Linked DNA regions of Cricetulus griseus. The protein of the gene in region 1 interacts with the protein of each later gene in a pairwise test. Links are inferred from orthologs where the notes say so. Each region holds a gene or a part of one and is shown in the gene's direction. Other genes may lie near its edges.

The links. The genes of interacting proteins can lie anywhere in the genome.
Region 2: the proteins of Disc1 (region 1) and Kif3c interact in binary tests that used the Homo sapiens proteins (3 or more experiments, as listed by UniProt). The link is inferred for Cricetulus griseus from reciprocal best matches to the Homo sapiens genes DISC1 and KIF3C.
Region 3: the proteins of Disc1 (region 1) and KAT8 regulatory NSL complex subunit 1 interact in a two-hybrid assay, tested with the Homo sapiens proteins (2 studies listed by BioGRID and IntAct). The link is inferred for Cricetulus griseus from reciprocal best matches to the Homo sapiens genes DISC1 and KANSL1.

What each region holds. Positions count from the first base shown.
Region 1 is NC_048596.1:201,875,852-201,886,110, forward strand, and holds part of Disc1 (disrupted in schizophrenia 1 protein), read left to right. Parts: intron 1-5,197; coding exon 5,198-5,318; intron 5,319-8,326; coding exon 8,327-8,562; intron 8,563-10,259. UniProt on the Homo sapiens protein: Involved in the regulation of multiple aspects of embryonic and adult neurogenesis. Required for neural progenitor proliferation in the ventrical/subventrical zone during embryonic brain development and in the adult dentate gyrus of the hippocampus.
Region 2 is NC_048600.1:14,281,686-14,292,650, forward strand, and holds the start of Kif3c (kinesin-like protein KIF3C), read left to right. Parts: upstream 1-5,415; 5' UTR 5,416-6,219; coding exon 6,220-7,770; intron 7,771-10,965.
Region 3 is NC_048600.1:117,490,898-117,501,801, reverse strand, and holds the start of KAT8 regulatory NSL complex subunit 1, read left to right. Parts: upstream 1-5,354; 5' UTR 5,355-5,470; intron 5,471-10,904. UniProt on the Homo sapiens protein: Non-catalytic component of the NSL histone acetyltransferase complex, a multiprotein complex that mediates histone H4 acetylation at 'Lys-5'- and 'Lys-8' (H4K5ac and H4K8ac) at transcription start sites and promotes transcription initiation.

The sequences.
Region 1 (10,259 bases):
AACACGAATTAGTAACTTAAATAAGTACCTCTTTACCTTTCTGGGATCAAGTGTTTCTATGAGAGTCTGATGAAAGCAACGTATGTTCCCATATTCAAACTGTCGGGGCTGTCTCATGAGAGACCGTCAGATATGAGGCCCTCCCATTCACTTTGGCCATGGGAAGAGGAGGAGGAGGCAGTGTCTCAACATCTCAAACTATGAAAGTTTAGAGTAATATTTAAGGGGATGTAAATAACCCCAGAGTCTACCAGCCACTTAATTTTTATTGTTACTTATTCTGAAAATTACTGTCAACCTCTTAAGTAAGCAGCTTGTGGTTTTTGTTCCCCTTGGAACTGTTTACATCAGCCCCTGAGTCACTGGGGTTTGGAGGTCGCTGCATCACTCTAATAGTGGCCATCAGTCCTCACACTGTCTCCTTCGTGTTATTCTCTGTTGCTCAATAATGGGGCCAGTACTGGGGTGAGGTGGACGCTGCTGCTCCTCAGTTCAAGATGTTTTTTTTTTTTTTTTTTTTTTTTTGAGACAGGGTTTCTGTGTGGCCCTGGCTGTCCTGGAACTCACTCTGTAGACCAGGCTGATCTTGAAGTCAGAGATTCGCCCGCCTCTGGTTTTGTCCTTTTGTTGTTGTTTGAGACAGGGTTTCTCTGTAGCTTTGGAACCTGTCCTGGAACTTGCTTTGCAGTCTCAAACTCACAGAGATCCACCTTCCTCTGCTTCCTGAGTGCTGGGATTGAAGGCCTGCACCACTATTCTTTAACAGTGTGGTAAATCCACGTCTCCACTTGGTTACAGTATCCCAGGTAGATAGCATAGGCATTGGGGCATTTCTGCTTTTTTGTTTTCTTCATATAGCCATGTCACTCTGAGATGCCAACCACAGGCCAGATTCATAGCTTTCTCTGCCTACTGTTCGGACACTTATTCTGCTGTCACAGCTGCTTCCTGGCTAGTGGAGCCAATGTCCTCTGTAGGCAGGTGTCAGTATGCTCACTGTCTTGTGGGGCTCACATGGTCCCTACCTCATGGCCTGCACTCTGACTTGAAATGACTTTCTTGTGCCTCAGCAATAGCTGCTTTACCATGTGGCCCCACTTCTCCCATGGGGCCGAAGCTGACACACCTCTGCTGTGGGCTGATGGGTGCTGAGACTACCCACAATGGACCATGTCCGTCTGCCATGCTGCTCAGTTCCCCCATGTCTGCCATAGGACAAGCCACGTCAGAAGGAAGGGTTGTGACAGCTGCTATGGCAGACACTATTGGCATCGCGTTTTTGCCTTGAGCCTCCAGGACCTTCTGCAGCTGAGGATACATTAATGTCACTGTCTTAGCACTTTACCTAGGTTCTCTGCCAGACAGTTTTGAAACTCTGCTATTAGTGTGAGTGAAAATCACAAAAGGAAAATTTTGTACTGAAGTACATGGTGATGATGGTGATGGTGGTAGTGATTCTGCTGGTGATGCTGCTGGTGATGCTGCTGGTGATGATGCTGGTGATGATGCTGGTGATGATGCTGCTGGTGATGGTGGTGGTGGTGGTGATGATGGTGGTGATGCTGCTGCTGCTGCTGCTGCTGGTGGTGGTGGTGATGATGATTATGAAGGTGATGACAGTGGAGGGATATTTTTGTTTCCTGGGCAGCTGCATATGAATATAACCCCAAGGGCAACAGTCACCGGTGCCCTGGCCTCTAGGGGCAGTTTTGAGCAATGTGCCATGTTTTTCTTCTTCTAGAAGGTTCCTGGTAGGATGGGGCCTCAGTTGCCTCTGTGATGATCAGTTAGATTATATATTTTTTTCTGACTCTTCTCCCTGTAGGTTCCAGTTCTATGGTGTCTTATGGTTGTTTCTCTAAAAACAATCTGCTCATATCCTTGCCTCAAGCCTAGCTGTCAGGAGAACCCAAACTGGACAGCTGTGTACCTTGGAGAATCAGTCTCCACTCTTACATCTTGAGGTGCCTGGGCTTTCTGATCTCTTTTGTGGGAGCAGGATGGATAGCTCTCTGTCTGCTCCAGTAAGTGGGAGGCGGTATGTTTTCATACCTCACTCTGATGGCGGGTAAGCAGGAGGTGCTGAGGGTGGCATCCCACTGGGGGCTCCTACCCCACAGTTATAGACTTAAGGTGAAATACTTCTAGGCCTATTCTTGTCAACTCCCATTTCTGATTCTGGAACAATGGGGAAAATTCCACCTCTTTGACACACCAGGGTCAGAAGGAAAGATTTTCCTTTCTCTGGAGTATTTGGCAAGCATTGTTGTTGACTGGTAATTTTCTCATTTATACCTTGTTTTCCCCTAATTGCATACCATGTCATGTGACTTCTCACTGGCTCTTCACTAGCATAGGCATCCACACTGGTACTCTTGCTACCTAAATTCATGCACACACACAGAATATCTTTAATCAGAGACCTTTCCCCAGAGGATAACTTAAAACATGCAGGAGCAGAGTCTGAAAAAGATAAAAAATGAAGGACAGGAAGGATTTCCAATCTGACCATGATAGAACTCTGGCATTGTCCAGATGTAACAGCTGCTGCTTGTCTGTTCCCCTGAGATGGGACCAAAATGGTAAGTGTAGGCTGGCAGCATGCCACCCTGGACTGCCTGCTTTTCCTTTCTTCCTCTCGAGCATACAAGCCTTTGATTTCAAGTGGATAGCACAGCAGACTGAAGTGTCACAGGGCCCAGTGATCCTCAGGTTATAATAAATACCCAGGGCACAGAAGGGAAGCTCACAAGATGTTATCAGGAAATAAAGATGTTGTCTGTACATTTTATAGCTGTGCTTTTCTGTGTGGTGCATGATCAGGTTTTACAGGTGGGGTTCATCCCTTCAGTGATTGATAGGAAAGATTCCGGTCAGAAAGAGGAAGATTCCCTACAACTGGGCTGGTCCTAGTGGGTACCAGTCTGAACCCCCAAGGCTGAGAGTGTTATCTTAGATCTTACATACCCCTGCCCCCTACACCTCCGTGCTATTGCAGGTTTTTATCTTCCCCGGAGGGGTCTGCTTATTTTATATACTGATTAGTTTATAGCAAGGATTCCAATTTGCTCTGCCATGAGGGATCACATATTGAGACTTTACAAAAATAAATAAAAGAGTATGCAGTATTGGGAGACTCTGGGGACCAAAAACATGGAAGATGGAACCCGTCCCTATGTGAGCCATGTGTCCTGAGGCCACCCCTAGCTCTCCATAGATCTCTTTTCTGTCCTGGTAGTAGGAGTATGAGAGACAGACAGAGGGGTGTTGGTTAAGCACAGGGGCTTATGGGGTGGTAATGGATGTGATTTAACTATCATGCATAGAGTTAGTTCCCAGCTCTGCACCTGTAGCTTCTCTCTGCAGCTGATTTTTCAGTTCTGTGTTGACTTCCTACACTAGCTCCCACCTCCACCCAGATGGCAGTGAATGGAGAAATTCAATGAACTCTAATATCAGCATAGACCAAACACATTGGGAAATAAGTAAGGGGAAGAAATGAGCAAATGCAGCGGGAGACAGGGTGGGAATGACTTCTCCATGTTCAAGGCTATGAACTCATTAAGCTACCCAGCAGGTGTTAGCTGAGTCCCAGCTCAGTGCTGGACACTGGGAACATTGGCACAAGAAGAGCCATGTCTCCCTCAGAGACTCACAGTCCAGCCCAAAGAGCAGGTAGCAGCCCAGAGCCCAGAGCCCAGAGCCCAGAGAAGGGCTTGCACCCTCTTTTCACAGCTGTTGGAAGCCAAGAGCACCATAGAGCCGTTATACACGGAAGAGGCTCGTTGTGCTGCTGTCTTCATATTAAAGTTCATCCTGTGTAGGAGTGTGTCCGCCAGACAGGTCCGGTGTTCACTTTACTGGTGCACATGTTGAGACGTTGGAGGTTTCCAGCAAATGCCCCAAGGACAGGGTGTCTTTCTTCCTTCTCCAGGTAGCCCAGTATGAGGAGGACAGTGAGGTTCAGAGGGTTGGGTTTGTTCAAAGACACCGCCAGAGAAATGCAAATCCAAGTTCTCACTGTGGCCTTGACCTCTGTGAACCGTGTTCTCCCTATCCAGTGCTGTCCTAGGAAGAGCCTCTCAGGGGACTGCCCCACAGGGGAGGGTGGGATGTGATAGAAGGGGGAAAAGGTGTCTGAACTTTCTGTGAGTCGTACGACCTGGGGTGTCTTGGAAAGTGCAGGAGTGCAGGTGACAGGCTGGCTAGTTATGTGTCTACTTGACACAGCTAGAGTCATTGGAGAGGAGAGAGCCTCATTGAGAAAATGCCTCCATAAGATTGGGCTGTAGACAAGTCAGTAGGGCATTAGTTTTCTTAATTAGTGATTGATGGGGGAGAGCCCAGCCCATTGTGGGTGTGGCCACCCCTGGGCTGGTGGTCCTGGGTTCTATAAGACAGCAGGCTAGTGAGGGTGGAAGGATGGAAGCCGAAATAAACTGCTTCCTCCTCTCAGTTGCTTTATGATCAGAGTGTTTTATCATAGCAACAGACAGGCAACTAGGATGGTATGAGTTAGCCTGGTCTACGTGACAGATTATAGTTGAAACATGTACATTAGGGACTTCAGCCCTGTGAGTGCCTGGGTGACCCTGTGACTGGGGAAGCTTTGTGCAGTTTCTCACTCTTTAAGTACATGTAGACCTGGCAATGTCTGCTTCACTACACCTGTATGTAATCAGTTGTGTTTTATACTCTTTACTCTTTGCTCTTTGGTGCCCACTATCCAGCTCCCAAATAAATGTTATTCTTACGTATGAATGCCTGGCCTTAGCTTGGCTTGTTTCTAGCAGGCTTTTCTTAAATTATTTTATCTTTTCCCTCTGGGCTTTTCTCTTTCTCTATTTCTGTATACGTTTTTTTCCTTCTTACTCTGTGGCTTGCTGTTTAGCTGGGTGATTGGCCCCTGATGTCCTCCTGTATCTTCTTTTCTCAGATTTCTCTTTCTATTCATTTTCTCTGCCTGCTAGCTCTGCCTGTCCTTTCTCCTGCCTCAATACTGGCTGTTCAGCTCTTTATTAGACCAATCAGGTGTTTGAGACAGGTGAAGTAACACAGCTTTACAGAGTTAAACAAATGCAACATAAAATAAGGCAATACATCTTTGCATCACTAAACAAATGTTCCACAGCATAAACAAATATAACACATCTTATGTTCCACAACACCTGTACCAATGCATATCTGTTACTTGCAGGTCTGGCAGCGATGCTCCAGAGGCCCCACTTGATGGAGAGCCAAGGACCACTGCCCAGGATAGTCCATCTGCATCCATCACCAGGCGGGACTGGCTTATTCGAGAGAAACAGCAATTGCAGGTGAGTGGTATAGAATTTTCCAGAGAGGCACTGGCCCTTTTCTTATCCATGTGAGTCAGATGCAGTGAAGTCGGTCTTCACACTGTTGAGTGTAAGGGCTCCAAGCAGAGGTAATGCTGCGGCCGGAGGGCACAGAGGAACCTGCAAAGGCACCTGCACAGTATTATGGGCCTCAGAACCTTCTGGCTCTGCTCTCTGACTGTAGCTAGTGTTTCTCCCATTATTTGACCCATAGACGCTCCCCTTTGAGGGACAGGGAGAGGTTTGTGCTCTGGGAATGCTTTGTGTGAATTCCTATCATGGTGAACTCTGGGAAGTAACTGTTAAGGGACATGGTTTTATGCCTGGGCTCGGCATGAGGCTGCATCTGTAATGACCAGCAGGTATATGGAAGCCATGCTTGGTGCAGAGCAGTGGTGACATCTGGCCAAGAAGTGCCCAGGGTTAGAACTCTGAATGAGGATCCAAAGTGAGACCAGAGCCAGGAGGGGCTCCAGAAGTTTTTGAAACAGTAAATATCCTGGGGCAGGGACAGAGAAGTGGTGGGGTGTGGGCATACTTGAGCCTAAAGCCTGGAGCAGGAACTGGGAGCTATGAGAAACACTGGAATCATGGAAGAGCCTCGGTGAATAGAGTGGAAAGGCCATCAAATATGATTCTTTTAAATAATTTATTTATTTTAATGTGCATTGGTGTTTTGCCTGCAGGTATGTCTGTGATAGGGTGTCACATCTTGGGGTTACAGACAGTTGTGAACTGCCATGTGGGTGCTGGGAATTGAACCCAGGTCCTCTGGAAGAACAGCCAGTGCTCTTAACCACTGAGCCACCTCTCCAGCCCTCAAATATGATTCTTAACATCAACTTTGGGCCTCCACATACACACCCAACCACATGCATAGGCATCCTACCCACACATACCCACATACATGCAAACATACACATACCACACACACACACACACACACACACACACACACACACACACACGAAAATGGAAAAAATAACAAAAGAGGAAAAATGTAGGATCATCACAGAAAATAGATTGCAGTTCCTCAAAAACTTAAAAATAGAATCCTTAGGACCCAGCGATCCCATTGTGGTTATGCACCTGCAAAGAAATAAAAGCACAGACTAGATGAGACATCTGGATTACTATAGTTGATGACAGCTGGGTGGATAAGCCAAATGTGGTGTGGATGCAAAGGTCTGTTATTCACCTTTCAGGAAAAGGACATTGTGCCACAGGGCACAGTGCGGGTGAATGTAGAGGACAGTGTGTTATGCCACATAAGCCAGTCATGAAAGATAGATACTGTAAGATTCTACTTAGAAGAAATCCTCCAGTAGGGAAGCAGATTGGTGGGAGGCAGGGGAGGGGATGGTGTGTGGGTGGGCAGGGGGATGGAGAGTTGGTGTTTAATGGAGACGGAGTTTTGTGGTTGGATGGTGGGGATGCTTGCCCAGTTTGTGTGTGTGCCTATGTTACTGAACTGTGCATGCAAAATGGTGGAGATGCCATGTCTTTTGTTATGTCTTTTTTACTATAGTTTAGAAAAACTTGAGTCTGTCTTCCCAGTATGGGGAGGCCGAGGCTTTATTGCTATAGGTTCAAGCCTGGGCTATAAGATGAGTTCTGGGCTAGTTACTGAGTGAGATGTTGACTCTGAGAAACAAAACCAAAACCAAACCAAAACAAAACAAAACAAAAATGAGAGCAACAAAGAGTGTGGGTTTCACAGAGTGGTTAGTTTTGAGTTTCTGTTGAGCACACTGAGACTGTGGGCTAGCTCAGCCCTCTCTCTTCTCTGGGTGGGTGCAGGAGGTAGAAGCTGTGGAGAATCTGCACTGTGGGTGGAGAGAACATCCTGGAGATAGGGAGATATCAGGAATTAAGCTGTACTCTTATCAGCTAGGAACAGTGAGGGAACAGGGGGTGTGTCCGTTAGTAGAGCCTGGTGTTATATTCAGACTCCTACGCAGTGAGATGGCTATCTGCCCAGTGCTGAGCTCACACTGTGTTCAATTACCTGCTGCTTGTTTATTTCTTGGCCTGGAGACAGATGATGGTTATGGATTAACTTAGATTCCAGCTTAATAAATTAGGGCAAATTGTGTGTGTGTGTGTGTGTGTGTGTGTGTGTGTGTGTGTGTGTGTGTGTGTGTGTGTGTTTGAGTTTGAATGTGGGCACAGGTGCATGTATGTGCACATGTATGTGGAGGACAGAAGTTGATATTTGATATTTACTCCAATATCCCTTTACCTTATTATTATTATTTTTTTGACACAGGGTTTCTCACTGAATCTACACTTTACTGATTGGGCTAGACAGGCTGGCTAGCAAGTCCCTGGCATCCTCCTGTCTTCTACCTCCCCTTACCCTATGCTGGGTTTGCAGATTCATTCTGTGGGTCCCCAGCTTTTGCATGGGTTCTGGGTATCAGAACTAGCTCTTCATGCTTGCATGGCAAGCACTTGACTGATGGAGTTCTCTCACCAATCCTGGGAAGTAAATTGGTCCAACAGTCTGAAGGACACTAGACTCTGGCTCGACAAATCTTGTTCTCCCAATCCTATTGACCCGACAAGCCAAGGTTCTTGTGTTTTTGTACATCCTAAGTTCTTGTGTTTGGGAGCAGGCTGCCCTTTCCCCTCCTGGCCCACAGCTGGTGTCTCAGTGTTTGGTGTGAGTGGCTAGTGCCTTTGCTTCCCCATCAGAAGCGAAGCCAGTGATACATCATTTGCTGGGTTCTCTCAAGTCAAAACCTTGGCTAGCGCTTGTCCGTATTTAATGCTTGGGAAGGAGAGGATGTTTTTCTTCCTGCCAACTCATCAGAAACATAAAACTGGCATGATTTTCCCAGTTCAGCAGACTTCTGGAATTGGCCTGCCTCGGAAGAGTGGGGTGGGCTCCGAGATTGTGGTGCATATGGCCTGCTCTCATTTAACCGATTCATTAGTAGCAGAGCAGGGTTAATGGATGAAATCTGTTCCCCCATTCTCTGCAGAAGGAAATCGAAGCTCTCCAATCAAGGATGTCTGCGCTGGAGGCAAAAGAACAACAGCTGAGCCAAGAGTTGGAGGATCAGGAGACACTGCTCCAGTGGCAGGGCTGTGATCTGATGCCACTGGTGGCCCAGCTGTCCCCAGGACAGCTGCAGGAAGTCAGCAAGGCCTTGGGAGAGACATTGACCTCTGCCAGCCAGGCTCCTTTCTGTGTGGAGCCACCTGAAACCCTTAGGAGGTATTGGTGATTTTCTAACTGATTTTCCAGCGTTCCCTCTTTCACCTGTTTATTGAGATGGCTTTGCTGCCCATTCATTGTTCACAGGTGCTTCTCAGGTGGTTTGTTTGCTTAGTGGAAGTGCTGGTGGTGTTGAGATGTAAGATTCTTCACTGCGGGGTCAGTTCTGAGCACTGGGAGTTATTTGGCATCCAGTCCACCCAATCCCTAGCTGCCAGCACTGTCCCCTCTCCAATAGGCAGTTTCCAAAATTCCAAGGGGCTGGCTTGTCTCTCCTTTCCCCTTCCCTCCCAAATTTGGGGTCAGTTGGATAGAGATTTTGACATTGGCTTTTGCTGAAGACAATTATCTGGAAAGAGATTTCACTTCTAAGAGGTAGGGTGTGACATCAGAAGGGTGTGACTTGGGGCATAGGGCATGGCATTGGAAGAATGTGACCTGGGGGATGGGATGTGACATTGAAAGAGTGTGACTTGGGGGAAAGGGCATGGCATTGGAAGAGTGTGACTTGGGGGAAAGGGCATGGCATTGGAAGAGTGTGACTTGGGGGGTAGGGCATGGCGTTGGAAGAGTGTGACTTGGGGGGTAGGCTGTGGCATCGGAAGAGTCTGAGCTGGCTGGGGAGATTTTCAGTTACAAAAGTATTTACTGCATGAGCGCAAGGACCTGATCTTGGATCCCCAGAACCCACATAGAAATCTGGGTGCAGTGTAACCCCATTTCTGAGAATGCAGACTCAGGATCCCTAAGGCTTGCTGGCTAGCCAGTTTAGCTGAATTAATGAGCTCCAGGTTCAGTGACCCTATATTACAAAGATGAGACAGAATGTGATTGAGGAAGATATATGACCCTCCCTCTGCACGCGCACACACACACACACACACACACACACACACACACACACACACACCCAAAAAACCAAAACAAAAAACCCAACCAACCAGCCAACCAACCAACCAAATTAAAAACTCCCAAACCAAACCAAACCAAACAAAAACTCCAAACAAATGAACAAATAAACCAAGAGGGCAACATAAGCAGTATTTTTTTATCAGGTCACTGGGATGAATGAGCTTGTGTTGCTGCTGTTGCTGGCTAAGCAATGTCAAATGCCTGGTCCTGGGCAGAGCTACTTTGTGGGTCACATCAATTATGCTGTCTGTTTTACAGACAGTGAAAAGTAGTTTAAGAAGGTTAATAATTTAAAAAATTGATAATCTGCCCAAAGTGTTAATAGGAGAGAAAAACAGATAGACTGCTATTCCTGCTTTCTCAAATGTGGTGTCTCATCTATCACGAAGGGGTCTTTCCTATGTTTTACACTGCAGAGAGCTTGTGAAATACACATATACACATCTGCTAGGTTGTATTTAATTTTTTTAAAGACAGGGTCTCACTATGTACCTCAGGCTGGCTTCTAGTTCTCTGTATATCTCAGGCTAGCCTTGAACTAGGGATCCTCCTGTTTCTGCCCTCTAAGTTGTTGCTCTTAAGGGGTTTCAATCTCATTTTGGAGACACATGGAAGACACACTTACACATGTGGGAAAGGAGTGCTTGTGGATGGGCAGGGATGTGCAGTCAGGGCTTAGGACTCTGCTGGGCCACTGTGCTCCCTACCTGTGGGGATCCTCATTCTGTGATTTCTGGCTGACTGTTTGGGGAGACTCTTTAGTTTCAGCTAGCCTCACTGTGGCT
Region 2 (10,965 bases), on another chromosome or scaffold:
ATAGTAAATCCAAGCCCTAAGTCCCCCACTGACGGATGAGTGTATTTTGTCTTCTTGGTATAGTTTTTTGGCTGTAACCTGACTGTCACTGGGTCTTCACTGGAAGAAGCAGCTGGTGTGGGAATCCCCTGGGGTAAAAAAAGCTTTCTGTACTGGACTGAGTGTGGTGGTTCCCACTTGTCATCTCAGCACTCCAAAGGCTGAAACAGTAAGATCAAGAATTTGAGGCTAGCAGCTGGGTGGTGATGGCGCACGCCTTTAATCCCAGCGCTCAGGAGGCAGAGGCAGAGGCAGGTGATTTTCTTGAGTTTGAAGCCAGACTGCTCTACAGAGCAAATTTCTACAGCTTCCAAAAGGTACCCTGTCTTGAAAAACAAAAACAAAACAAAACAACAATAACAAAAAAAGAATTTGAGGCTACCTTGGGCTACATAATGAGCAAACATTTTCATTGCCAAGGATGGCTCTATGAGCAGGTGTTTTGGTAACTCAACTCGACACCACAGAAAGGAAAGATCACAGGGCTGCAGGCAGGGTTGGGTGTTCTCATTGGCTTTATTTATTTGATTTTATTACTTTAATTTATTTTCTATTATTTTGGTTTCTTCCCCCTAGACACCTTATCAGACTGAAACTTCTAGGCTGGGCCCTCTTTACAAAACAAGGATATTGCTGTACATAGTGGCACATGGCTTTAATCCCAGCCCTCTGGAGGCAGCTGAGGCAGCTCTGTAACTTCGAGGCCAAGCTGGTCTACACAGAGAGTTCCAGGACAGTCAGGACTACATAGAGAGTCCCAGTCTCAAAGTTAATTAGTTAATTAATTAGTAATCAATTAATTTAAAATTAAATCAGAAGTCTTCTCTGCTGGTTTGTTTTGATAACAGATAGAAGGATGAAGTTTACAAAAAATATAGTGTGGGCCTAGCATTCCAGTTCCTGTGTAGGTAAGTTAGTTTCAAGTCAAGCACAGTGGCTCACGTGTGTAATCCTAGCTACTCAGGAGGCCAAGGCAAAAGGATTGCAAATTCAAGGCCTGCCTGGGCAACTTAGAAAGATCGTGTCTCAGAATAAAATAAGGGTAGACAGGCAGTGGTGATGCATAACTTTGATTCCAGTACTTGGGATGCAGAGTCAGGTGGTTCTCTGTGAGTTTGAGGCCAGACTGGTCTACAGAGTGAGTTCCAGGATTGCCAGGGCTACACAGAGAACCCCTGTCTTGAAAAAAAAAATAGAATAAGGGCACTGGCTAGACGGATAGCCAGTGGGTCAGAGCACTTGCCACACAACTGTGATGACCTGAGTTGCCTGTGCTTTCTCCCTCTTTCTCTGTGTCTCTCCAACAGTAAATAAAATAAAGTTCTAAATTCTGGGTGTGGGTTTTTTGTTTTGTTTTGTTTTTCCTGAGGCAGGGTTTCTCTGTGTAGCCCTGGCTGTCCTGGAACTCACTCTGTATACCTGGCTGTCCTCGAACTCACAAAGATTCACCTGCCTCTGCCTCCAGAGTGCTAGGATTAAAGGTGTGCACCTCCACCGCCTGACTCTGGGTGTGTTTTTCAGGGAGTTTCGGAGCAGCTTACTGACAGAAAAAGTAGTATCGGTTAGAGAGGGGTCTCTGAATGGTGTGAGCAGGAGCCCTATGCGGTTGAATAGCGGGAAACGAGGCTGTGCCGACAGGAATAAAGGAAAAAGGACATCTTGAGCAACGAGCAGCGGGACACACACAGAAACAGTGGGGTGTCTGGGGGGCATCTTGAGCAACGAGTACCGGGACACACACAGAAACAGTGCCATGTCTGGGGGGACCTTAAGCAAGTCAGAGCAACTGGAGAACCGGGCAGGAAAGAACGGTGGAGACAAATCTGAAAGGAAGACACAAAACGCAAACAGCTTTGAGCGTGATGGAGGGGCGAGGAAGGAACTTACAGCCAAAATGACCGTGGGCTTCTGAGCCTCCTGTCTCAATTTTCCAAGTAGTGGGGTTATAGACTTGTGCCACTGCTCCCAGATTTTCGGAGGCTGAGGGTCAAACCCAGGTTTTCATGTCTGCTAGCAAGTTGTCTACTGACTAAGCCGGATCCCCAGGCCTGTGTGCCTATTCCTTGAATGCCTTTATGGCCTAAGAGAGCTCACATATATCGTTTGACTTAATCTTTGGGTGAGGAAAGGTAAACACTCCTATCCTACTGGGAAAATAGCTGTTCAGAGGACTTAAGTAATTTAGAGGGACTTGCATCTTGGAAGCAGTGATTATTTTTCACCCTCAGCTCCCTTACGGAAGGACCTGGGCCAGTGGTGCCAATATGGAAGGATCAGGATACACTTGCATTTTATCCAGCGCAGTAGTGGCGGATGAGTTAGCCAAAACAGAGATGGACGTGCAAAAGCCAAGCCAAGCCCAACAAGGAAATAGTTCAAGAATCAAATAGTATCCAGAAGTCAGGTTGTCAGGGCCAAGGAAGGTAAAGTTTCACAGCCAAAACTTCACCAGTAATTGTTCCAAAGGCCAAGTTCATTATTGAAGCTGGACCAACGGAGTGGGGAGGAAGGCCAGGGAGCTTCACAAGTGGGCAAGCTACCAGCTAACCCTAAAGCTGCTGGCCGGGCTGACATTCAAATTCTAAGGATTTAGGGATAGCGATGACACAAGGAGCCAAGCTTTGTTGTTTGTTTTGAGATGGGGGAAAAGGGTGGTCTCTTGCTGCCCAGGTTGACCTTGAACTTGCTCAGTAGCTGAAGCCGACCTTAAACTCTCCATCTTCCTGTTTCCATCTCTGAGTGTGGATGACACCATGCCTACCTTTATCTCCTTTTTCTTTTAATTCTTTATAAACTTTATTTTAAAGCTTGTGGATAAAATAAACATCACATATCAAATTCATTTTAAAAATAATTATTCTTATTTTATGTAACTTTTTGTTTTTTTGTTTTTCAAGATAGGGTTTCTCTGTAGCTTTGGAGCCTGTCCTGGCACTCACTTTATAGACCAGGCTGGCCTCAAACTCACATAGATCCACCTGCCTCTGCCTCCTGAGTGCTGGGATTAAAGGTGTGCTCCAGTACGGCCCAGCTAATTTTATGTATTTGAGTGTTTGCCTGCACTATTTTATATGTTTGTGTGTTTGCCTGAATATATGCGTGTGTGCCACATGTATTCCTGGTACCAGTAGAAGTAAGGATGCTGGAGTCATGGATGGTTGTGAGCCACTGTGTAGAACCACCTAAGAACTAAACCTAGGTCTTCTGCAAGAGCAGCCAGTATCATTATCTGCCAAACCATCTTTCTAGGCCCCAAATCCATTTATAAGCACATGAGGAAGCTAAGGCTGAAGCAGAGTGGATTGTTGGGTGGAGATCAGAACTGGAGCTATGTATGTGGTCTGGGAAGATAACTCAGCTAGAAGTGTGTGTTGCACAGGCACAAGGAATTGAATTGTGATCTCCAATAACCCCTGCACTGGGGAGGTAAAGACAGGCCAATACTTAGAGCTTACTGGCCAGACAGTCTACCCAGTCAGTGGATTCCACATGAGTGAAGGAACATTGCCTCCCACCCCCATCCCCCAAAAAATGAAGTTCAGGGGCTTCTGAAGAGATGGCTCAGTGACAAGAATATTTGTTGCTTTTACAGAGGACCCTGGTTCTGTTCCCAGTGCCCACTTGGCAGCTCACAACTATCCACAACTCTAATTCCCACTTCTGACCTTTGTGGGTACCAGGAACACGCTGGAGATACAAACATACATACAAACAGGCAAAACACATAAAATAACATTTAAAAACAAGCCAAAAAACAACAGGGTTTCTCTGCCTAGCCCTTGGCTGTCCTGGAACTTTCTTTGTGGATCAGGCTGGCCTTGAACTCAGACCTGTTTATGCCCCCTGAATTCTGGAATTAAAAGCATATATCACCACTAGTGGCTAATTTTTTAATCAATCTATTTATAATCAACTTATTTTTATGTGCATTGACATTTTTGCCTGCATGTATGTTTGTGCAAGGTTGCCAGATCACAGACTGTTGTGAGCTGCCATGTAGGTGCGGGGAATTGAAGCTGGGACCTCTGGAAGAACAGCCAGTGTTCTTAACCACTGAGCCATCTCTCCAGGCACCTAATTTTGGAGGCTATCTTGGAACTAGCTCTTGTAGAGCAGGTTGGTCTCGAACTCACAGAGATACGCCTGCCTCTGCCTCTTGAGTGCCGGGATTAAAGTCATTTTTTCAAATGAGGTTAATCTCTGGCCTGGAGAGGCACCCACATGGACACACACCCATATGTACATGTGTACACACCCCTGCAAACACATACATACACCATCACACAGGAACTAGAATGCTAGGCCCAAGCTTTTTTATTTTATGTAAATCCATCCTTTCTGCTATGGAAACAAACCAGTTAAAGAAGGCTTCCGATTTAATTTGCTTCTCTGTTGCTGTGATAAAACACTGCTGAGAGCAACTTGGAGAGGAATGGGTATGTTTGGCTTACAGGTTCCAGTACATCATCAAGGCAGGAACTTGAAGTAGTAACCATGGAGGAACACTATTTATTTGGCTGGCTTACAGGCTCACATTAGGCTACCTTTCTCATACACCCCAGGACTACCTACCCAGGGGTGACACCTCCCACAGTGAACTGGCCCCTCCTCCATCAATTAGCAATTAAGAATATGTCTCCACAGACCAACCTGAAGGAAGCAATTCCTCGGCTGAGCTTCCCTCTTTCCAGGAGTCTCTAGTTCATGTTGACAAAAATTAACCAGTGCACAACACGGCAGAATGAGCCCTATTAAGTATATGGCCCCTTATATGATAGGGGTCCTGCTACTAGAATAGGCCTGGGGCTCAGCGGGAGAGCTAGAAAAGTGTGATGGCATTGTTATCAGGAGTAAGTGGAGGTAAGGCCGGGAGGTCAGAAGATAGACAGGCCTTCTTGGGATATGGAAGGTTATAGAGAAGTGGTTGGAGTTAGAGCTTGGTGCAGGCACGAGGCAGGGAATCAGTTAACTGTGCTTCCAGCAGAGTGTTACAGGGAAGGCCAGGCAGAAGTAAACCAGAATAGGGAGTAAACCATGTTTAGGAGTTAAGCTCCAGGAGGCCTGGTGACACCCTGAAGAGTGGGGGACGGTGACATGTCCCCATCTGCAAGCAAAATGGAAGGAGCAGTGAGAAACCGAGAATGGCGGTTGCAGAGAGAACACGCGTGGGTGGTGCAGCCTCAGCAGACACACTCGGGGAGTGGGGGTTTGCATGCTGGAGGAGGGGCTCCCAGACTTGAGGGCTGGAGAAAGCATTAGCAACCTGACAGAACCCTGTTAACAAAGGAGGGACTACATCTCCCAGCATGCTCGGGTTCGGTGGGGTGACGGCGGGCGGTGGCTGCGCCGCATCCGACTGGTGGGCGCGGGACTTGGGTGGGCACCCGAGCCTGTCATCCCTGAGGGGTCGGCGGGGTGCGGGTGGCGATGCACCGCTGTCCCTCGCGCAAGGGCCAGGCCGGGCTCTTGTTCCCCGCCCCGCGGCCCCGCCCCTTGCCCCACCCCAGCCGGGAGACCTAGCCCCGGCCGCAGCGCAGCGGCCGCAGCAACATCGCTCTCGCCGCCGCTGCTCCGCCCCAACCCCTTCTGTTTTTCTCTCATTCTCCGGTGGCGGCGGCGGGGAAGGCGCAGGAGAGGCAGCAGCAGCCAGCTGTGTCTGCAATGAATGATCCCCCAGCCGGAGGGGAGGACTCCAGGTGAGCCTCTGCCCTCGGGAGGATCGGGATTCCCTGGCCGCCCAGGTCCCGCATCCCCCGCCATGGATCCCTAGGGGAAAGGAAAAAGGAGGAGGAAAAGACAGCTCTGCCGCCCACCCCCATCACATTTTCCTCTTCCTTTATCTCATTGTTGCCGAAGCTGTTTACCGTAGCGCTCCCTCTTGCCCCAGTATGGGGCGGGTTCCAGGCACTGCCCTTCGGCAGGAGCTGCTTGCGCGGTTGCCTGGGGATTCTGCCTAATTCTACCTCTCCAGTCTGTGCACAGAAAGCTGTGGAGAGCTGTGGAGGCCTGGACTGCAGCAGCCTCTGGGCCGACTCCCTGCATCCCCACCCTGGTAGGCTGCATGCGGATTGAAGATCGGTGTCTGGGGGCTGGGCCAGCCTGGCTGATCCCGACCTAAGAGTAGGACAGGAGGACCTCCCAGGTTGCAGAGCGGCCCTTCTGGAAGGACAGAGCCCCAAGATGGCCAGTAAGACCAAGGCCAGCGAGGCCCTGAAGGTGGTGGCCCGGTGCCGCCCTCTCAGTAGGAAGGAGGAGGCTGCTGGTCATGAGCAGATTCTGACCATGGACGTGAAACTGGGCCAGGTGACTCTGCGAAACCCCCGCGCGGCACCCGGGGAACTGCCCAAGACCTTCACCTTTGATGCTGTGTATGATGCTAGCTCCAAGCAGGCCGATCTGTATGATGAAACGGTGAGGCCCCTGATAGACTCAGTGCTTCAGGGTTTCAATGGCACCGTGTTTGCTTATGGCCAGACCGGCACCGGCAAGACCTACACTATGCAGGGGACCTGGGTGGAGCCAGAGCTCAGAGGGGTTATCCCCAATGCCTTTGAGCACATCTTCACCCACATCTCCCGCTCCCAGAACCAGCAGTACCTGGTTCGTGCCTCTTACTTGGAGATCTACCAGGAGGAGATCCGAGACCTGCTATCCAAAGAGCCAGGCAAGAGGCTAGAGTTGAAGGAGAATCCTGAAACAGGGGTCTATATCAAGGACCTCTCCTCGTTTGTCACCAAGAATGTCAAGGAGATTGAACATGTGATGAACCTGGGGAACCAGACCCGGGCAGTGGGAAGCACCCACATGAATGAGGTCAGCTCCAGGTCCCATGCCATATTTGTCATTACAGTGGAGTGCAGTGAGCGTGGCTCAGATGGCCAGGACCATATCCGAGTGGGCAAGCTCAACCTGGTAGACCTGGCTGGTAGTGAGAGGCAAAACAAGGCAGGTCCCAACACAACTGGAGGGCCAGCCACACAGCCAGCAGTGGGTGGTGGCAGCGGAGGTGGCAGCGGTAGCGGCGGTGGCAGCAGCGGAGAGAGGCCTAAAGAAGCCTCCAAAATCAATCTCTCACTGTCTGCTCTGGGCAATGTGATTGCTGCTCTGGCCGGCAACAGGAGCACCCACATCCCCTACCGGGACTCCAAACTGACCCGGCTGCTCCAGGACTCACTGGGGGGCAATGCCAAGACCATCATGGTGGCCACACTGGGTCCAGCTTCTCACAGCTACGATGAGAGCCTTTCCACCCTACGCTTTGCAAACCGAGCCAAGAACATCAAGAACAAACCCCGGGTGAATGAGGACCCTAAGGACACGCTGCTGAGGGAATTCCAGGAAGAGATCGCCCGCTTGAAGGCCCAGCTGGAGAAGAAAGGGATGCTGGGTAAGCGACCTCGGAGAAAGAGCAGCCGCAGAAAGAAGGCTGTGTCAGCCCCAGCAGGTTACCCAGAGGGGCCAGTGATTGAGGCCTGGGTGGCAGAAGAAGAAGATGACAACAATAACAATCACCGCCCACCCCAGCCCATTCTGGAGTCAGCTTTGGAGAAGAACATGGAGAATTATCTGCAGGAACAGAAGGAGCGGCTGGAGGAGGAGAAGGCCGCCATCCAGGATGACCGCAGCCTAGTGAGTGAGGAGAAACAGAAGCTTCTAGAAGAGAAGGAGAAGATGCTGGAGGATCTGCGGAGGGAGCAGCAGGCCACAGAGTTGCTTGCAGCCAAGTACAAGGTAAGGACCCCAGAGGATGAGAGAGGTCCCCACAAGGATTTTGATTGGTAGATTTTCTTTCCTTTGAGGGTCTGTGAGTTGGCCTGAAGTGGGCTATGCCACCTTAGGACCACATATTGATAACTGTCCCAGAGCAGCTTAGCAAAGCACTATAATACTAGGTAGCCAGGTACACTTGCATGCATTCACACACACCAAGCAGAGTGGGCAGGTTCTTGAACCAGTGGACTTGAGATGGTCTGACCTGCTGCTGTCCATCTCCAAATGGCCCCGGGATTGGTCAGGTCTATGAGAATCCCATTCAGGACTCTCCTCTTGTGAGTGTGGCTTGTCATTCCTTATGACTTCCTCCCCTGATACTCTCCACCACTTGGTGTCTTCAGACCTCATATATTAATAGCATCTGACGTTCAGACAGCACATCACTGTTTACAAAATACCCAAGTTTCGTCTCACCTTGTCTCATCTTCACAAGAGCCTTCAACATAGTGGCTTTTAAATCCTCATCTTATGGATGAGGAATTAAGGCTCAGGCTCAGAAAGTGACAGGACCAAGGTTCCCTTCTTCAGAGCTGCAGAGTTGAGCTGGTACCCTCAGACTTCATAATTTTAGTCTTCAGTAGCAAGGCCAGACCATGAGGGTGAGAGAATCCTGCTTCCTATGGAAATGACCCATTGGATGACACAGTGCCAGGCCTACTCCTGGTGACATTAGGAAGGAGACTCAGAGTGTCATGTAGGAAGTAGGATGGAGAGAGAACTGGGATCTATCCCAGAGAGTCTATGCCTCTTAGGCAACAGCTCATTGAGTGACTGGCAGTGTTTTTCTCTTTTCCTCTTACCTCCATTTCCCTTTGTGTAAAGTAGGATGCTAGCCTGAGGGATCACTGAGTATCTACCAATCTGATAATTCTATGGCCTATATTAATCTGAGAAAAAAGAACAAAACATTTTTGGCCTACACAACGAGGCCTCGTGTCAATCATTGTCCTGAGAGTCGCCAGGGCTTCAGCATCCTTCCTGAGCTGGCCACTTCTGAGAGAACCTCTCGCCCTATGTGAACCTAGGTTATTGAGTCAGTGGTAGACCTGTTAAATTTCTTCCTACTCCTTTTTTTTTTCTTCTTTGTAAATAGAATCTTACGTAGTTTAGGCTGGCCTAGAACTCTTTATGTAGCTGAGGGTGACCTTGAACTAATTATCTTCCTGCCTCCATCTCCTGATTGCTAGGATTACAAGCAAGTACCATCACCATGCATGATTTTGTGCACAGTTGGAGATCAACCCCAGAGTTTTGTGCATGCTAGAAAAACATCTACCAACTGAGCTACATCCCCAGCTGCAGATCCCTGTTAAATTTCAGTGCTGCAGATGTCACAACCCAGTGTTCCAGGCATTTCCGGATCCCTGGAGCCTTCAACACTGGGGTTGGAGGAAAAATATGGAGAACCATGAGTTTGCTTGGAAGATCAAACACTGTCAATTCTTATTTCTTCTTAGGAGTGTGGGCTCGGAATGGGGAGGCCCAGCCCACAGCCAGTGGAAGAGTGACAACTGAGCTATGTGCATTGTCTATGTACTGGGATATGCTGCTGCACCAGGGGCTGTGGCCTGGCGTGTTTAATATTTAATTCACTCATAGAGAAGCTCAACTAGGGTTATATTGAGCTGCTTCCTCAAGGGAAGGACCAGGGTCTTGGTACCTGGGAGGTGCAGGATATTAAAGGCAAGGCTGCTTGTCCAGTCTTGTTTAGCAGGGAGAGAGTCTAACATGCAGGGTGATGTTATTGAGTGGAAAATTCTATCTGGTCCATCAGTCATTGATTTCTTTTCCAAGGTATCCCTTACCGTGTTAAGCTGGGAGGCAGTGGGGGTAACAGAGGCTGATAAAGGAAGAAAGTGCAGATGGGTATTTCTAATGTTCTTGTTGGGAACTGACTGGTATCTTTCCATAAGATTTTTGCGTCTAAGGCAATGTAAGAACACAGGTAATAGGACAGTCAGGAAATCAGGGTGGAGTTGTGCATAGTGGGATGCATCTGGAGTCCCAATTGCTTATAAGACTGAGGCAGAATAGTTCAAGCTCAGGAGTCCAGGCCAACCTGAGCAACATGATGAGACCCTGTTTTGAAAATAAACACAAGTAGCTCAGTCAATGGATTGATCAATACAAAGATCTGGGTAGCCAGAACTGGAATTCCTACACTAGGTGTATACCCAATGCAACATTATAATCTTATTGTTGGCAGGGGCCTTGGAGTAACAATGTAGGTCTGGCTCAGGGTCTGGCACAGGTGGCCTGAGCAGAGCCCAGACTGTTCATGCTTAGTCTAGCCTCTTCCCGTTGTTGTTTACATTCCTGATGAAATAATTTGGTTTTTTCTTTCCTTATTAGTATATATTCATTATATACAATTTTTCATTATGACACTTTTATACATGTGTATAATGTATTTTGATTATATTTGCCCCTTATGCCCTCTCTTGTTCTCCTCCTACTTCCAATGATCCCCTTACTCTTTTTAATCAACACCTCTTCTGCTTTTCCTGTGTGTGTGTGTGTGTGTGTGTGTGTGTGTGTGTGTGTGTGTGTGTGAGTCTGTCTGTGTATGTCCCAATGAGTTTCATTAAGGTTGCTTACAAAACCATGGGCACCTTACCAGTATCTAGACCACTGTGGGGGTGTCTTCCTCCTCCAGCAACCATTAAATACATGAAAGTAATTTTAAAGGTATATTTATTATGTGTACATGTGTGCCTGAGTTATGTGCACCATGTGTGTGCCTGAGCCTGCAGAGATCAGTCAAAAGAGGGCATCAGATCCCCTCGAACTTGGGTTGCAGGAAGTTGTGAGGCATCGTGTGGGTACTGAGAACTGAACCTGAGCAGTCTAGATGAGCAGTAAGCACTCTTAACCATGAAACCATTACCCCTGCTCAAGCAAAATGTTTTTATGTAACATTATAACAGTATAATCTTACTCTTTCAACAATCCCTAGTCATGGATACTGTTTCCATTTGGCAGCTATGAAAACCCAGGCTGGGGAGATGTTGGCTGGTCTATGAATCTGGTTAAGTGGCAGAGCCAGTACCAGAATTCAGGTCTTCTGATGTCCCCAGCCCTGTGTTCTTTTTATGTCACCCAAGATTTCTCCATGTTTGCTCCCTGTTCAACTCAGGGCAAAGGCTTTTTCCT
Region 3 (10,904 bases), on another chromosome or scaffold:
CCCTGCTCTAATTCCTTCTGTGTTACTTTACTTCCACAATTAGATTCCACATCAGATTCACAACCTGTCCTTTAACTAAAAGGCAGGATCCAGAATAAAGAGAATCTCTCCTAGGCCAGCCTGGTCTATAGAATGAGTTCCTGGACAGCCAGGTGGTTACACAGAGAAATCCTGTTTCGAAAAACCTAAAAAAAAAGAGATAGGTCTTGCTATGTAGCTCAAGGTAGCCTCCAATCAAGACCTTCCTATTTTGGCCTCAAAAGTGCAGGGATTCCACATCACCACAGCTGGCTAGAGATGATTTTTTATGTTATCATTACTCTTGAAGAATAACTAACGACGTAACTAACGACATTCCACCCAAGTCTCTATGTCCTCATGACCGTAGATCTGCAACATGCCTCCAGCGTCCTTTCTCCCTCTGTCCTTGGGCATCCAGGACAAGAGCTCCCACTGAACTATTCCCCCAGCCCTTTCTTTTTATTCAAAGAAAGACAAGATGCATGTGTATTCTTTCTTCAGCCCTCATTCTATTCCCTTGTTCTTTGTGTCACAGGGATATCAGACATCGGACCATGGGAGGGGGAACCAGAAAGTATTTGGAGGCAAGGAAGGGGAGAGAGACAAGGAGGAGGGACCAGGAGTACAAGGAGGGTGGAGAGGATAATCTCTTTAGGTTAGGTGTTTTGGTTTTGTTTTGTTTTTTTGTCTGTGGTCCACAGATTAAGAACTCCATGAAGTTTTGCTCCAAATCATGAGAAAATTAACATTTCCTCCAATTGCAAATGTAAACAATAGAACCTAGTTTTAGCAGTACCTGTGACTTTGCCACCAATGTTTAACGTCATAGTATATGACAGTTGTTTCAGATTTCTTTAAAAAAAGGACTCAAAGTTAGAACGGTCATTCAATTAATTATTATTTGATTGCCATTAAAAGGCACCATATTGCTACAGTATACTTTTAGCAATATTTTGAAAACTCTTTTTTTCTGTAGCACAGTTTCCAGGTCCTTGATTAATACCATGTACCACCATTCTTGTCCTAAAATTTTAGGGGCTGGAAAGATGGTTCTAAGGTTAAGAGCAATTGTTTGTTCTTGGGAAGGACACAGGTTTTGTTTCTAGCAGCCACACAAAGGCTCCAGCAGTCTGTAACTCCAGTTACTCCAGGGATCAGTGTCTAGCCTCCAAGGACACTAGGCATGTCCACAGTACATTTTACATACATATACATAAAATAAGCATCTTTAAAAAAGCATAGCTATATTTTATTATAACTAGTTTTCTTTGCATTTCTCTGTTCCCCAGGTGATCCTCCTGGGTCAATCTGGCTGGCTGCCTCTGGATTCCTAAATGCATTTGATGTAATTTAGAAACATTCTGAGATAGAGTCCTTATGTGTCACTAACACTAAAAAAGTTAAGACTTCTGATTTATGGGTGTTTTCTTTTTAGTTCTTACTGTCACCTGTACAGTAGGGCCTGACGAGTCCTTTAAGTGACTTCAAGACCTAAGGCTCTCTTGTTTTTTGTTTTTTTTTTTTTTTCTTCAAGACAGGGTTTCTCTGTGTAGCTTTGGAGCCTATCCTGGCACTCACTCTGGAGACCAGGCTGGCCTCGAACTCACAGATATCCGCCTGCCTCTGCCTCCAGAGTGCTGGGATTAAAGGCGTGTGCCATCAACGACCGGCTTCTCTTGTAGTTTTGTATTCTTTCTGCAGTAGACTCTTGCTCCTCTGCCTTCATGCTGCCTCGCCAGTATTTTTCATCTTAATTTTAGTTGCATTTTTCTTTTTACAATTTGAGAAAGTCAGTCCTTTAGCGTGTCAATTAGCTCCTCATCTGTGGATTGTTTACTGTCTTCTGTGTTATGGAATGCCTTGGGACACACTTATTACTAGTATTTGAAGCTGAACAAAAAAAAAAAATAAAAAGTAAGATTCCCCACTAAATCTGGATATTGTCCTGATTTTCTTTTCTTTTTTTTTTTTCTTTCTTTCTTTTTTTTTTTTTTTTTTGGAGACAGGGTTTCTCTCTGTAGCTTTGGAAGCTGTCCTGGCTGTAGACCAGGCTGGCCTCGAACTCAGAGATCTGCCTGCCTCTGCCTCCCGAGTGCTGGGATCAAAGGCGTGCGCCACCAACGTCCGGCTCTTTTTTTTTTTTTTAATTTATTCTTCTCTCATATTACATCCCAGCTTCCACTCCCATTCTCTCCTCCGTGTCCACCTCTTCCACTTCCCCTCTCCCTCAGATTTATTCCTCTTATTTTTCCCTTCAAAAAAGAGCAGGCCTCACAGGGATATCAACCAAACATGGCATAACAAGTTACAATAAGCCTAGGCACATGCCCTAAAATCAAGACTGGACGAGGCAGTTGGAGGAAAGCAGCCCCCTCTGCCTCTGTTAGGAGTCCCACGAGAACAACAAGCTACACAACCATACGTGTATGCAGAGGTCTTAGGTAGCATCTACAGGGTCCCTGAATGTCGGTTTTATCTCTCTGAGTCTCTAGGAGCCCCGGTTAGTTGATTCCATGGGCCGTGTTCGTGTGGTTTGTTTCTAATTTTGTGACCTGATTTAAAGATTAAAAAAAAAATTAATACTCACTTTGTTAGCCCAAGCTGGCTCTTGAACTTATTACTCTTCTACCTTGGTCTCTTGTGCTAGAATCACAGGCGTAGGCCATCACGCTTGGCTAATATATATATTATATATATATATATATATTATATATATATATGAAATGTTTATGAATGGTATGAAAATCAGTATCTACAAAGGATGTGCCTGAGATTAAGTCTTTCACTCCCTTGGTCTGCTGGGCAATCCATTTCATCCCAGGAGGTAACCACTGTTCCCACCTCTGAGAGTGATTTTTGACTATCAGCTCTCTCAATTCCTTCCTGGTCTGTGAGATGTGTGGCCTTTCCAGGCCCTCATGACCTCAAATCTGATTGACTTCATAAATTAGCAATCATATGTGTATATTTAATGTACATACACAAAATCTCTCTCCCTATGGCCTTCCGGGCCCGGTTTTCATCACATCGCTTCCTGGATGAAGAACCTGGAAGGGTGAGGGGCAGGGGTTGGGGGTGACAGAGAAGAGGACCTGAGGGACTGTGGCCAGGGGTTGAGTGGTGGACTGCTGTGAAGCACTGTAGGGTTTCCTATTTTTATTTTTCCCACTAGGCCCCCTTCCAATTCGGTCCAGCTCAAGCCTCTCCTTTCCTAGGGCCGAGACAGAGACAGGAGAGATACAGAGACAGAGACGCCGAGGCACCAGCATCTCTCCCCCCCCCTACACCGTCCCGCCCCACAGCTCTGACGGACGTCAACTCGCAGCCAATGACGCTCGCGAATTGCCTCGGACGGGCCAATGAGAGACACAGGAGGGCGAAAGCTTGCCCGCCCCCCCCACTCTAGCTTGGTTGAGCCGTGCAGGTAGGTCCGGGGCCGGGGAGCTGCCGTTGGCACTACTGCCCCGGGGTGGGGGCGCGGCGGGTCGGGGTGATGGTGGCGCAGAGTGGGGCGTCCCGTCCGGGGACGTCGCGGGGGGCGCCGCCGCGGGCGGAGGGAGGCTGAGGGGTCGCGGGAGCGGGCGCCGCCGAGGGCCCTGAAGGCGGCCGGGCTGAGGACGCAGGGACGCGTGTGGGGCGCGGGACCCCGGCCCGGCGCCCACCGCCAGGCCTGGGCCTCGGGCCATGGGCCGCGGCGGACCGGGAGACGGGAGGCCAGCGGGCCGGAGCGGGGGCGCGAGCGGTGTCCCGGGGCCCAGGCCGAGCGAGGTGGGACGGACCGCGGCGGGCAGGACGGAAGCGGCATCCCGCGGGCCGCCCCCTCCTGAGGCAAGTCGGGCAACGGCCACGGGCTCCGGCCGCGAGCCCCGGCCCCGGCCGCCCCTCCTAACAATGGGACCGGGCCGGAGGAGTCGCGGGCCGCAGGGGGTGGGGGAGCTCCCGGACGAGGGTCGGAGGCGGGGGAGGGGCGGGACTGGCGCTCTCTGGATCTCGGCCCCGAGGTTCTGTGGAACCTGGGGGTCGCGTCGCGTCGCCTCGCGGGTGGGGGCGGGGGTGGGGAGGGGCGCTCAGGCTCGCCTGCGAGTCGGGTCAAGAGTCAAACTCCTCCGGTCCCCACCCCCCAAATCCGGTGAGCGGTAGGCAAAGTGATGCCAAGTCTCCCTAACCGAAGTGACAAACGCGGAGACAGAGCAAACCCACCCCAGTGCTTTATTTTATTTTTAAAACGGGGGACCTCGACTCTGAATTTAAGAAATTATTTTTTTAAAGAGGTGAGTGTGTTATTTTTGTGTTCCTACGCGGGCAAGCCTCCATTTTAAGTGAAGCAGTAACTGGTTAAGCTGGAATGTTCATTCAGGCCTAGGACTTAAGGCTCCTACAAGGAAGGGGTCATTTAGTCCATCCTTTTGCGTCCCTACACACTTAGCACCCACCATCTTCAAAATTAATTCCTCTGGGCTGCTTTTAAAGATCTCTGGGAAAGAAGGATCTTTTCTCCCCCCCTCCATTTTTTTTTTTTAACTTGTAGTACTTCAGTGAAGAATAGCAACAATTATTATAATGATGATGATGTAGAATCAGCTCTGAAACTTTATTTATTTATTTATTTATTTATTTATTTATTTATTTATTTTGGTTTTTTGAGACAGGGTTTCTCTGTGGCTTTGGATCCTGTCCTGAAACTTGTAGCTCTTGTAGACCAGGCTGGTCTCGAACTCACAGAGATCCGCCTGCCTCTGCCTCCTCAGTGCTGGGATTAAAGGCGTGCACCACCAACGCCCGGCTGAAACTTAATTTTAAGAAAAGTTAGGACATTGGAGTTGCCAGAGAGGTTTACATTTATTAAATAAAAGTAGCTGTAGACTTTTTTTTTCCGGTGACGAGTTAATAAATCACTTTCAGTAGTGCTTATGAAATAATACTCTGGGAGAATGGGAGAATAACTTTTCCTCCTGGATTTTGGTTTTCTGAATCTTTAATAAGTAATTTTTGATTATTTAAAATTTATGGTCTCTGATGTAAAATATACATGTGAAATTCCCTTTCCAAAGAGAATTGTATATTGTACCTTTTGTTGTTGTTTTTGTGTTTGATACCATCTCAACAAGTAGCCTTGCCTGACCCTGAACTCACTAAGTATACCAGGCCAGTGTTGAACTCCTAGATGACAGCCTGCCTCAGCCTCCTCTGAGTGCTGGGATTAAAAGTGTGTGCCACACCTGCACACTTTCTAGGATGGTAAGGCAGTTGGCACTTAGCATCCTTCCCAGATAGAATAAGCTATTTGCATATTCTAGATTATTGTCATCTAAATGAAACATCCTCCTTTTCAGATCTTGCCACTTTTATCCGTGGTAACTGAGGGGATTTCTTAGTCTCTCCCTGCTTCTTTCTGAGGCTCATCTGAACTATTCCTGACACTATGAATGCTATTTGGATGCCTCTTAAGGTAAGATGTATTGGTTTTTCCTTATTACTTCATATGAGTGTTTTAGAACCAAGAATATTTGTTTGCTATTTGTGTTTTGAGACAGGGTCTCATGGTAGCCCAGGCTGCCTTGAACTTTTTAGATTGCTAAGCATGCCTTTAACTTCATGAACTTCCTGTCTCAACATTCCAAATGCTAGGATGTTCTTGAATTTACAACTCTTCAATTACCTTACAGGATACTTATCCTGAGGACTATTAGCTTCTTAGGATTTGTATTATTGCTGTTCTTGATTGGTGTTAAAATATTAATGAAGTTCTCAAATTAACTTTTATTATAATGATGAGTTCATTTTTTAAAATAATTTATTTAACTTTATTTTATGTGCATTGGTGTGGAGGTATCTGGAACTGGAGTTACAGACAGTTGTGAGCTACCATGTGGGTGCTGGGAATTGAACCTGGGTCCTCTGGAAGAGTAGCCAGAGCTCTTAACCACTGAGCCATCTCTCCAGCCCCAGAGTTCATTTTTTTTTTTTTTTTTTTAAACCTTAAATTATTACAGCTTGCATACTAGTAAAATTCTGTTCCAAACCTGGCTTATGGGGTTGGCAATTCAGACTTTGAGGTCCATTTTCAAACAGGTACTTACTTTAGAGTCATATGAACTTGGGTGTGTCCCACTTTTGCAAATCAGAGCTGATTCATGTGTTACAAAAGATGTGTCATTAACCATTTGTTTACTCTGAAGTTTCATATAGTATATTAAGGTTTATGTGTACAACTCTTCATCTGCTGCTCCTTAGGCCAGTTCATGAACCCTTACACTAATTTTTTTCAACAGGTAGCCATTGTGTCCTTTCATTTCAAGGGCAATGTGGGACAGTGACCATTTGTCTCTTATGGTTCTTTCTGATCTGTTCGGAGATGGCAGAAGAACTCTTGGTTAGGGCTAAGCAGAAGACTGAGCTTAAGGCTTGAAAGTGAGGAAGTGAGAGGGAGGACCAAGAACTGATAAGTAGTGCTAGAAGTCCTCTGTCAGCCTCGCCTTCCTTGAGAGTTAGATAATGATATAGTTAAGATTGTTTTGATCTGCTCCATGTAATTCCAGAATAGTATAGTGGGTAAATCAGAATAATGCAGTCTGTGTAACCTAAATATTTGGACTTTTGGGAAATCTTTAGGTAATGTAGACTGGATCTTATCCTCACTTTTGTTCTGGCTGCTCTTGTTGGATGAGTGCATATATTAATATAAAGGGGTCCAAAGTGACTCATTCTTTGCAGTCTTTTCCCCATGGTACAGCTGGAGGGATTGAATGGGGAAACAGTCTGAAGAATCGATTGCCTAGGAACTGGAGGACCTTGTATAATTGTGTTTTCATTTCCTTTTTTAAAAAAATACATTTATTTTTATTTATGTGTGTTGGTTTTTTGCCTGCATGTATATCTGTGTCACAGTGTCAGAACTCCTGGAACTGGAGTTGACAGACAGTGGTAAGCTGCCATGTGGGTGCTGGGATTGAACCCTGGGTCCTATTAGTTAGTATTCTTAACTGCTGAGCCATCAGGACTTGCTGACTTCTATGACCAGTATATTAGATTTCATGTTTCAGCTTCCTTGGTTTTAAGGTATTAAATATATTGAGGCCTACTTTTTAAAGATGTGTGAAGTGTTTAAGGTTTTACCTCTAATGGTAAACCTGGGGAATTACCAGAGTCCTTTGACTTGTCGGAAATACAGTCAGTGTCCTATAGTAAGTATGAATTATTATCTCTTAACTACTCGAGAATGTAATTATGTGGCTGCCTTAGTTTTATGTTTCCTACCAATCCTTTGATCGGTGTAAAACTGTGCTAAGTTTAAGCTTTGTTGTTTTGAGATAGAATCTTGCTATATGGTCTAGACTGGCCTAGTACTCTAATGACTCTGCCTCCCAAGTGCTGAGATTTCAGGCATAAGCCATAAACAGTTTTTTTTTTTTCTTCACATTTTCTACCTTTATTTTTTTTTTTTTAGAAATCAGTTTTTTTTTTTTTTAATGTATTTACTTTTTATATGCATTGGTGCTTTGCCTGCAGGTATGCCTGTGTGGGAGTGACAGATCTTGGGAGTTACAAACAGCGTTGAAGTGCATAGGGGTTCTGGGATTTGAACTCCGGTCCTCTCGAAGAGTAGTCAGTGCCTTTGACCGCTGAGCCATCTCTCCAGCCCCTTCCTCCCATTTTTTATACTTAACATTTCAAAATACGTTTAAATTGGCAGAAACAGTACGTTTTTTTCTATATTTTCAAATTAGAGTTTTTTTTATTTTATTAATTAAATTTTTTACTTGTATTTTATGTATGTTGGCGTTTTGCCTGCATGTATGTCTGTGTGAAGGTGTCAGATCCCCTAGAACAGGAGTTACAGACAGGAGTTACAGACAGGTGTGAACTGCCATGTGGTAGGTCCTCTGGAAGAGTAGCCAGTGCTCATAACCACTGAGCTATGTCTCTAGCCCTTTGTTTTTGTTTTTGAAACAGGGTTTCTCTGTGTAGCCTTGACTGTCCTGGATCTCTGTAGATCAGGCTGGCCTCAAACTCACAGAGAACTGTCTGCCTCTGCCTCCCAAGTGCTAGGATTAAAAGCATGCACTGCCACACCACCACCAAGTTATATTTTTAAATAAAAAGAAATGAGACTTTAATTAAAGTGTATACATCATGGCAAATGTTCATGTTTCTTTTTTTATATGATGCTGGAGATCCTAGATAAGCATTATATTGCTGAACATTAGCCTCAGCCCCTAAAATTTCTGTATTTCTTTGGCTTGTTTTCAGATACCTTATTTTATTCTAATTTAGTTTAAAATTTTATATTTATTTGTGCTTGCACAGATGTACATGTGTGCACACATATGGGCCATAGTGCAGGTGCTGGGTGGAGGACAGAGGACAGCTTGTGGGAGTTGGGCCTCTCCTTTCACCAAGTAGGTTTCCAGGATCAACCTCAAGTCATTAGGCCTAGCAGCAGGTTTTTTTTTTTTTTTTTTTTTTTTTTTTTTAAGATTTTATTTATTTATTATGTATACAACATTCTGCTTCCATGTATATCTGCACACCAGAAGAGGGCACCAGATCTCATAACGATGGTTGTGAGCCACCATGTGGTTGCTGGGAATTGAACTCAGGACCTCTGGAAGAGCAGCCAGTGCTCTTAACCTCTGAGCCATCTATCCAGCCCATTTTGTTTTTTGTTTTTTTTTTCATTTAAAAATTATTATTTTGTTTTATATGTGTCGGTGTTTTGCCTCCATGTATATGTGTGGAATTCTGAGCCACAGTGTGGGTGCCAGGAAATGAACCCAGGTCTTCTGGAAGGGTGGCCAGTGCTCTAACCATTGAGCCATCTTTCTATCCCCCAAATAATCATCTTTACATGCTGAGCTGTCTTGCTGGTCCCTAGTTAAATTATTTATTTTACTTTGTTTTTTTATGGGATATGGTATCTTTATATAGGTAGCCCTGGCTAACCTAGAACTCACTATGTAGACTAGACTGGCCTCAAACTCAGAGATTTACTTGCCTCTGAATCCTGAGTGTTGGGATTAAAGGTGTGTACTGCTACACCTGGCCTAATTTATTTTTTTCATGTTTACTTATTTCTGAGTGTGTCTGTGTGTGTATATATATGTAGCTTACAGTTTTCCTTCTGCCATTTGGGTCCTGAGGATCAAACTCAGGTTGGCAGACTTGGCTTGCTGTGCCTTTATCTTTGAGGAGTTTGCTCTGTCCTTGTGCCTTTATGTGTTTTCTAGGAATTGAACTCAGGATATCAGGCTTGAATGGCAAGAGTCTTTCCCTGCTGAACCCTCTTGCTTGCTTTTTAAAAATTTTTTAATTTGAGCCGGGCATTGGTGGTGCATGCCTTTAATGCCAGCTCTCGGGAGGCAGAGGCAGGTGGATCTCTGTGAGTTCGAGGCCAGCCTGGTCTCCAGAGCAAGTGCCAGAATAGGCTCCAAAGCTACACAGAGAAACCCTGTCTCGAAAAACAAAACAAAAACAAAAAAAAAAAAAAAAAAAAAATTTAATTTGAAACAAGTTCTCACTGTTACCTTGGCTGTTTTGAAACTCCTCATAAAGACTAGGCTGGCCTTGAATTGAGAGAGATAAGCTTGCCTCTGCTCCCTGAGTGCTGGGATTAAAGGCATGATCCACTATAACTGGCTTTTTATACTTTTTGTTTGAATCAAATCCAAATATTTGAAAACAGAATTCAAAACTAAGTGGAAACTAACAGGTAATTCCTTACATCTTCCTTTGTTGGAAGAGAGGGAGGCAGGTTTTTGAACAGTGGCTAAAGTGATGACCTGAAAATGGTCTAGTAATTTAGAACATATGTTGCTTTGGGATGTTAATTTTTTTTTTCTTTTTAAATTCTTTTTTGTTTTTTAAAGGATCAAACTCAGGTTGGCAGACTTGGCTGTATAGCTCTGGCTGGTCTAGGACTCACAGAGATACATCTGCTTCTGCCTCCCAAGTGCTGGGATTAAAGGAATGCACTACCATGCCTGGCTGGATTTTAATAATAATAAAAAAGATTGTTAATTTTATTTATGTATGTATCTGTGTGTGCCACATGTGTGTGGGTACTCAGGAAGTCCAGAAGCGGATGTCAGATCTTCTGGAGCTGGAGTTACAGGTGTGGTTGTTAGTCACCCAATATGGCTGTTGGGTATCAAACTTGGGTCCTCTGCAAGAGCAGCAAGTGCTCTTAACTGCTGCTATATCTCTTGTCCCCAAGAATTTTTTCCCCCAACATGGTATCAAGTAGATTAGGCTGGCTTTAAGCTCATGATGTAGCTGAGTATGACCTTGAATTCCCCCTGCCTCCACTTAAGTGCTGGGATTAAAGGCATGAGCTGCCATACCATGCCTATTTTTTAAAATTACTTTATACATATGGTTGTTTTGCCTGCATGTGTATATGTGTACCACATTCTTGCCTGATGTCTAAGGCATTCTGAAGAAGGAATCAAATCCCTTGGAACTGGAATTACAGACAGTTAGCTGCCTTCTTATGGGTTCTGGGAATCAAACACAGGTCCTCAGGAAGAACAGCAGCAGGTACTCTTAAGGATTGAGCCATTTCTTTAGCTTCCCCCTTGCCCATGCCTAATTTTTTTAATGTAGTGCTAGTGATCCCAATCCAGGGTTCTTGCATGCTAAGCACCATCTTTCCAGTTGAACTACTTGGTAGTTTTGAGGATTTTTTTTTTCCCCCAAGACAGGTTCTTGGTATGTAGTAGATCAGGCTGACCTTGAATTCATGGTGATTCTCTTGCCTTAGCCTCTTGAGTACTGGGATTTCTAGCATATGCCACCATCCCTGGCCAGTGATTTTGAATTTATTGATGCTATTTTTTTTTTTTTTTTTTTTAGGAGAGAGCTACAAGGTCAAGCACTAATGTGGT